Schizosaccharomyces pombe: one gene and its partner. Changing the gene in region 1 together with any one later gene gives a genetic interaction. Each region holds a gene or a part of one and is shown on either strand. Other genes may lie near its edges. The genes, in order: rga5 and etd1.

Region 1 (4,182 bases):
CTTTAAGACTAAAATCCTTTAAAATAAATCGACCGAATTTTTGTTCCTCAGTTCAAATTGTAAACAATTTATACAGTTATAGTAGTACCCAATGTCTTGTTTATATCCAAGGATATTTAAAGCCCATATTCGTAAACCAACTTTACATAATGCATACAATCATATAAGATCCTTCTCACAATCTACATTTTACGGATTGCAAAATTTCCACTATCTAAGCTTAAGAGCTGAAAGCTTCTCACCTTACAAATATGCTGATTTTCGTAGTAAATAATAAAATGAGATGACATTACTTATTTACTCGGTCGATTTTTGAGAATTTGCGTAAAATACTAATTTGTATCTTAAGATAAAGATACTAAGTTGATTATGTAAATCCGAGTATGCATGGTTGTCTGGTGTGTTACGTTTAGTATGCTATCCATTAGCTTGTACACTGTTCTCCAAACCATTTCATTTTTTTTATGAAATTACCAATTGGTTTGTAATAAGTTGCTTTTTAGTTAATTTAACGAGCATTACTGTTGCTGCTCATCTTGCATGGCTATCGTTTCGAACCGATCATATAAAATATTCGACGAAACAATCGCATAATAGGAGCTAGTCAAAGAAATTTTAAATTTTTGTACAATTTCTTGAGGGCAGCTTAGTTTTGTTTGATGGGATGACAAATCCCGGTATTTACAGACTTTCAATTCAATGAATTGATTTGATGCGTCCAATACCCACATCGCTATTTTAAAAGTGTAGTAAATAAAAATAATGTAATGTATATTATTAATTTATTATTACATTGCCGAGTAAAAAGGGAGTAAAACGAGAAATCAATTGAAGGATTTGTATTTTCTTTATTCTTTCGTTTACTAATTTTTGTAGCGATGACCTATTTTAAAGGTTAGATAAAGTAAGTCAACACGCTGAGCTTAATTGAGATTATCGGTGCGAGCGATCGATTGTAACAATCAATCGCAACAATCAAATGATAATGTATTAAGCAAAAAAAGGAAACTTGAAAGAAATATAGAAATGAGCGACCCTTAGCTCTTCGACCTGGGTGAACAAGAGTCGTTGTACATAATAAAAATATAACAAAAAAGAAAACCCCAGACAAATCACAGTTTCAAGCATATTATACAATCATAGAAATTTGCATTACTAAAAGAATTTCTCTTAAAAGATTAATTATCTAAACATTCCTGTATATCGAAAATCGTAGTTGTATGTACAGAGAGACATGGTACTTTTATTTATCAATAAAAACAGTATACCAACAACCAAGGGGAGGGCATTCTTCATTGTCAAAACTCGTCAGTTTGACTTGTAAGAATTCGCAATTCAAATATTTCCTAGGAACATGACTTTCAACTCGTCCTTTAATGAGCCCACTTTGCACTGCTAATCTGGGATGGGTGGTATCAGCACACTTCCTACTGACACTAACGCTAATGTGCCATGATCGTAAAATTGCAAAATCTTCGCTATCGCAAGCAGAATGTTTGTTTTCTCCGAAGTGTTAAGGAATGTATCGAATCGTATGGTAAAATCATTCCATCATCCAAAGGTCAGTATACGATATTGGCACGCTAATGCGTACAGGACAATGCTAAGCCTCTCTCTTTACGAGTTGCTCGCTTGAACGACTTATAAATTCCTTTAAATTAGTAACCAAGCGAGTAGTTTGGTATTTTATTAGAGGATTTGCCTTCCCCGAGCATCCTCGGAAGTACCGGCTGTGAAACTGCGACACCCACCTTGCAATAGCTAACTAGTACTTACCAACCCCGTAGTGTGAACCTGCTTTGTACACAATACAACAAATAATTCTAAAAGCGCAATTTATTAAGTTAAGTTTACCCATCTAGTGGAGAACAGTGTTATTTGAGTTGAACAGAATTGTTATTCAATTTTAAAGAGTGTCAATTTATCGGTTACTTTTTTTTTACACATCTACAATTCTTTCATTGTATTTGGGTTTAAATCTTTTGTCTGTTATCTCATTTTCCTCATTGAATTCTTTTTTTTATTGTTTTCATTTGTTAAGTTTTTCAATTTTTATTACAATAGCCATTGTTCATGACTGTTGTCGTAGGAGTCCTACAGATTGACGATATGGGGAAAAAGTCATCATTCGCTAGCTGGTGGAAGCAATTGCGGGTTAAAAAGTCAGATGACAATAAATTGTTTGGTCTGAGCCTTACAAGGGCTTTGGAAGTATCGAAGGTCGCTATCTTTCTGACACGCCGAGACGGTGAGAAAGTATTTTATGGCTACATTCCCGCTGTCGTTGCTAAGTGCGGGTTTTTTCTTAAACAAAATGCTACCCAAGTAAAGGGAATTTTTCGCGTTAATGGTTCTTCCAAACGAATCCAAATTCTCCAAAAAGCTTTCAGTACAGGCCCGGATTATGGCCGAAGTTTTGATTGGGAAGGATACACAGTTCATGATGCTGCCAATGTTTTTCGGAGATTCATCAATCTAATGCCAGAGCATGTGATTCCTTTGGAGTATTATGAAAGGTTTCGTGAACCCATGACAATTCCCAATCTTACAGACAATGAGCGAGTGGAAATGTATCGTCGACGCATTGATGAATTACCGATTCCAAATCGCCAGCTTTTACTTTATTTACTGGACTTACTTTCCGTTTTTGCGATGAACTCGTCGAAGAACCTGATGACTGCTGATAATTTGGCTGCTATTTTCCAACCTGGAATTCTATCTCATCCTGATCACGAGGTTTACTCAAAAGATTATCAAATATCGCAAACGGCTCTTTTGTTCCTTATCAATCATCAAGGAAGCTTTATCAAAACCATTCCTTTGTCTTCACTACCTCCTCTGGTAGCTGCGCCTACTTCTCCAAATACTTCTTCTACTTTAATTACGCAATCTGCTGCACCTACTCCTATAGCCTCGACATCCATTAGGATTAATTCTTTTAATCCAAGAAATGGATCCATTAAGCGTTGGCGCTCTTTTAGTCGTCATTCTAGTGCCACTTATTCCAATAGTCCGAGTTCAAATTTTTCAAACATGAAAAGCTCCGAGGTGGATCCTGGTTCACCCCCAAGAATCAAATCTCGTTCGTATTCATTGTCTAGAAGCTCATCTATGAAGCTTTTCCATACACTTGATCGCCGGAGGGAAAATCGTATGTAATACTTTTAATTGTTTTTCTCTGTTTATCTAGTTTAATTGTCTTTGTCCTTGGTTGTATGGCGAAGAATCTTTTTGTACATATATACTTAGTTGTTACCGTCCGCTCTTTTAGTTTTATTGGGATTTGCATTTAGGCTGGATACCGCTACTGTCGTTTTATGTTTTTTTCTTTGTATTCAGCCATTTTCATTTTAGAAGTTCTACTTAACCATAGTAAGAACAAATTATCCAATTCGTTATTGTTTTTTGTAATTGTTTTTTGTTTTGGTAGATCAATATATTTATCTACATAGTAAATTTATCTGACAGCTTTCAGCTACTTTCGTAATTTTAAATTTTTATTAATTTGGTGTCCATATATCTGTACAAAGAAACTTTTATGAAAACAACAACGACATTGTAACCAGAAAGGATTTATCAATCTATACTTTATTAGGCTCCAAGGAGATCCTGTAACAATTGTAAGAGGCGCTTCTGATCTTCAGATAACTCTTCATCATTATTCACTGACAAAAACAATGGTATCTTCAGGTCTGCAAGGATTGCAAGCTGTTCTTTGTACATCCTGTTTGTCAATTGTACCACTTGTTCATCAAATTCTTGTAAAGCCCTATTGTCATCTAAAGTTTGAGCGGAATCATTGTTGGTCTGGTCATTAAGACAATTGGACGGTTGTTTCAATTTAGGGTCGGAGGAAAGCGGTTTCAGTATTTCTTGAAGCTTAGTTTTCGACTCAAAATGTTGAACTAGCCGCTGCCGTTCCAGAGACCAGTTGCGCTCTTGACGTTCCTGCATAGCCTTCATCTTTCTTAATTTTTGTAACTTTTCGGGATGGCGGGAATTTAGGGCAAAGATGTACCTCAAGGCAGCGGGATAGGTTTTAATTTTTTCTGCGTCCTCTATAGAATTGTTCAACTCAAAATCAGAGGGTTTCCGAGCCTTCGATAGAGGGATGGATGATTTGTCTACATTTTCAAGCTGATTACTCGTTACGTTGGAGGAGCTTTGAAGCTCTTGAAGCAA
Region 2 (4,382 bases), on another chromosome or scaffold:
GATATGGCTGCCTTGCAAGCTGGTGTTCACGTTGTTGTTGGTACACCAGGTCGTGTTCACGACATGATTCAACGTCGTGCTCTTCCTACCGATGCCGTCCAAATGTTTGTTCTTGATGAGGCTGATGAAATGTTGTCCCGTGGTTTCAAGGACCAAATTTACGACATTTTCCAACTTTTGCCTCCTACTGCTCAAGTTGTTCTTCTTTCTGCCACCATGCCTCAAGATGTTTTGGAAGTCACCACCAAATTTATGCGTGATCCCATTCGTATCCTTGTTAAGAAAGATGAGCTTACCTTGGAAGGTATCAAGCAATTCTATGTTGCCGTTGAAAAGGAAGAGTGGAAGCTTGACACTCTTTGCGATCTTTATGAAACCGTCACTGTTACTCAAGCCGTTATTTTCTGTAATACCCGTAGAAAGGTCGATTGGCTTACCGAGCAGCTCACTGAGCGTGATTTTACCGTCTCCTCCATGCACGGTGATATGGACCAAGCTCAACGTGATACTTTGATGCATGAGTTCCGTACTGGTTCTTCTCGTATTCTTATCACCACCGATCTTCTTGCTCGTGGTATCGATGTCCAACAAGTCTCCTTGGTTATCAACTATGACTTACCTGCTAACAGAGAAAACTACATTCACCGTATTGGTCGTGGTGGTCGTTTCGGTCGTAAGGGTGTTTCCATTAACTTTGTTACCAACGACGATGTTCGCATGATGCGTGAGATTGAACAATTCTACAATACACACATTGAGGAAATGCCTATGAACATTGCTGACTTGATTTAAAAAATACAAAAGTCCTTTCTTCTCTTTGTTCTAGATATGGAACGCTCCGTGATTGCTCTTCTCGCAACCCGGCAAACCTCCCGCAACTTAATTTATCTGCTTTTCTTTGCCCATGTTTTTAATGCTTCTTTTATCTGTGCCGGTTGATAGCTGCTCACCATATGGTTTTTTGTGAGTCGTGTTAGTGTTTGCTGAGAAAGGATTTTTTTTTTCGGCTACGCTGTTTATTCATTAGGTCACAAAATAAAAGGCTGGATTTGGTTGATTTACATATATTTACTCTTCTTTTGAGCCTCGTGTAGCTGTTCTGTGATTACTTTTATAAATGTGTTGTAGTTTGGTTAGAAGGTTTGTCGTTTTTTTGTTTTTTGGTAAAACTAAATGAGTGAATAGAGGATGTCAATCTGTATTTTGGATTGAACTTTTATTTACTGCGTATACCTTTGTGGAATTAATTTTTTTGCTCAGAGCTAACGTATTTGTGTTAACCGTAACTGTCCAGTCGTACTTTTGTAAGGAATTAGGAAGTTCCTTTTGCTAAAAGTTAAATGGTCTGTAGTAATAAACAATTCTGCTAGGTAAAAGTTATTATTAATCATTGATCCATTAACCTATTATATTCGCTATGTTTATATTAACTGTGAGATTAAAGGTTGCATCACTTTACGCTCTCAAAAACGTAGCTTTAAACTGCAAACATTATTTGACTAGTTTTAAAGAGTTTGACTTTTAAGTCAATGTAATGAAAGAAAAGAAGAAAACAATGTTTTCCCTGCATCAACAGAGTTAGTTGAAGAGTTTATCGTAAGCAAGTAAAGAAAGTTGAAAGGCGTATAGCAACTTTTGATGCTAACATTGTGCTCATGAACGAGCAGTGGCTTTGAATCTTTGTAGAGTCATTCATCTTTTCAGTTTTTGGCTAACTTATTTATTTTAAGTTGAACATTTTTAATGAATAAAACTTGTAATAGACAGTCTTTTCCATTTCCTAGTCTATCTCTGCTAGCATTCCATCTTTACAAAGCCCTATTTAACGTAACCACGATTAACGCGTTATAAAGTATTTATCAGAATTATATAGCGCTTAAACAACATAACGAATTGCGTTCTTTGATGTTATAGAACTTTGTATTTCCTTATAAATCATTTACAGATTCATGTTCAAAATTCGTTATGTCGTTCTCATGACGACCGTTTGTTTACTAACAAAAGCGTGGTCTTGACGAAAGTGCCTTCTACCATTATTTACACACTTGAATGGGTTGACGCGTACAGTCTTTTCTCTACGGCAATAATTCTTTCTTTAATTTAGCTTAAGAGAAATATAGATTTACGAGTATTTCGTCAATGGGAGTTGTATACGGCAGTCAACAAAATTTAAGTGAATATTTCTATTCTTCTGTCAATATGGCAGAGGTTCCAGATACTTTCGAAGAGAATAGGGGTCATTCTTTTGAAGGTGTGACTCTACAACGAAGGCATGTGAAAGGCATGAAAAGTTATGGTTCAGATATTACACCGAGGCGCCCTAAACAGCTTGGATTACCGAAAGAAGTTAACACCTCCGAATGCATAGATCAAGGCTCATGGAGGAAACCCTCAGCATTTGAAAGCTTAAGAAGTTACTCCCGAAAATTTTCTAAACGAATTTTTTCATTCATAGGAGTTGAGTCAAAAAGTACTGTACAACGCAACGCTTCAGGTGCAGACAGTACGTCGTTGTCTCACTTTACGGCGAATGAGATAAACAAAGGCAACTGTAAAAAAACTGCGTTAAGTAATGAATTTAATTCGGCCAATAAAGGGAGCAAGGCTAGTGGTGTAGGTGCTGAACTACCTTCAGTTAATGGATTTATTGAAGGTGAGCTTCATGATGATAATGAGACAGATTCCTTTCGGATAAATGAATTAGCTAAGCAAATCCAAGAAACTTCTTTGGGTGCGACTACGCAAGAAGATGAGAGTTCGGATGGTATTTGCTGGGACGAGTTATCGACTACTTCGCCAGAGTCGTCGAAAGTGTCGGAACCTATCATTCAAGACAATACGCAAACGACTCATATAAATAACGATTCATCGGATATTCGATTTTCATCTCGTTGCGATTTATTTGCGGACGATGCGGATTCAGATTGGGAGCAGGACTTTAATGTGAAATTCGATAGTCCATTGATAATTCCCGAAACGGTAAACAGTGCAGGACACACCGTTCGAGAACAGCTTTTTGAGGTGAAGGAATTTACGAGATCCATCAAAGGTAAGACATTCATGTGTTGTAATGCTTTAGTTTTAACCGCTGCTAACTAAAAACACAAATAGACTTAAAAGATCTTTACGAAAAGGCAAATTCCAAAGATATTTACGACAAGGACTCAGAGATTTTAGGAGAGGCTAAGGCTATTCTACGGTTAGCGGATCCTGCAAATTATTCTGATTTAAAGGATGAGGACGCGCAAAACATTTTATCAAAATATAAAGTTAAGTTGGAAGGGGATTCTTCATTAGATTTCGATGCGTCCATGCTACCAGGGCTAAACGATCATGTGCATTATTTAATGTCCCAACTCCAACTATTATTACACTGAGTTTCTCTTTTTGGCTATTTAATCCATTAATGGAATGGGAAGTATCTATTTTGTTATCCAAAGTGTCAAAATTTCGCTTAGGATAATTTCAATAATTGTGAGAACAGTTTCGCATTGGTGGATAGCAAGTAAAGGTGAAACTGGCCATTACAACCTTTTTATACTTCTGCATCTTAAGAAGCTTTTGGTTTTATTGTAAATTTCTTTCGTTTTCTCTTTTTAATAAATCTATTTTGCAATAATATTTCGGAAAAAGTACTAGACAGATGTTTTGTCTTTTGTGAATATTAGTCCAACCTTTATTCTGTGATAAAAAGATTTTATTAAATTAAAGTAAAAGAATGTAAATCAAAAATACCTGAAAACCCATATCTATGATTTTGCTATTTAGTGAGAAATTCCTCATTGCACTGAAAATCCTTAAAACTAGTACCCCACTTCATACTATACTACGGGGTTAGACCACAATTAGTTGTTTATCCTTTGCACACCGCAAACCTATAAATTTTCTTTTTGTCAATTCCACATATTCTACAAGGAGGATTGACTTTTTAGTTCACTGATTATTGCTCTTTCAACAATTTATACGCGGTAGTTTTACTGCTCTTCGGCTCGTATAATTTTTTTACACAACACTTTTATCGATTTTTTAAGCCGAATTTCTACATTTAATATTTTATCATTTTTTTCTGCTCATTAATATTTACCGTATCTTTTCGAAAACCCATTGCTTTGGATGTGTGTGTGTGTCTCTCTCTCTACGTTCCTCAATTTGACTGCATTACTTTAATATACTTACAACCTGAATTCTGTTCGGTTGGTAATTCCTGCAATCGTTATTTGTCTTTGTCAACTTCGGATTTTTTATTTTTACATATAACAGTAGTTGCATTGACTTCGCTGCACAATTCCTTACACTGAGTTGGCATTCCTTGCATCTGTAAACCACTTTTTCATTACCCACTCCCATTTTTGACTTCAGTAAACAATTATTCTACTACTACT

Evidence for each region.
Region 2: of rga5 (region 1) and etd1, a mutation in one rescues a mutant of the other (synthetic rescue), as found in Schizosaccharomyces pombe (one study listed by BioGRID).

Annotation. Positions count from the first base shown.
Region 1 is NC_003423.3:2,484,734-2,488,915, forward strand, and holds rga5 (Rho-type GTPase-activating protein Rga5), read left to right. Parts: upstream 1-1,801; 5' UTR 1,802-2,073; coding exon 2,074-3,159; 3' UTR 3,160-3,476; downstream 3,477-4,182. Other genes in the region: SPOM_SPBC557.02C (uncharacterized protein), read right to left, coding at 3,592-4,182. UniProt on the Schizosaccharomyces pombe protein: GTPase-activating protein for Rho1. Has a role in the negative regulation of (1-3)beta-D-glucan synthase activity and cell integrity.
Region 2 is NC_003424.3:5,085,950-5,090,331, forward strand, and holds etd1 (Spg1-binding protein Etd1), read left to right. Parts: upstream 1-2,029; 5' UTR 2,030-2,139; coding exon 2,140-3,049; exon of another isoform or gene 3,050-3,111; coding exon 3,112-3,377; 3' UTR 3,378-3,689; downstream 3,690-4,382. Other genes in the region: translation initiation factor eIF4A Tif1, read left to right, coding at 1-792. UniProt on the Schizosaccharomyces pombe protein: Involved in septation.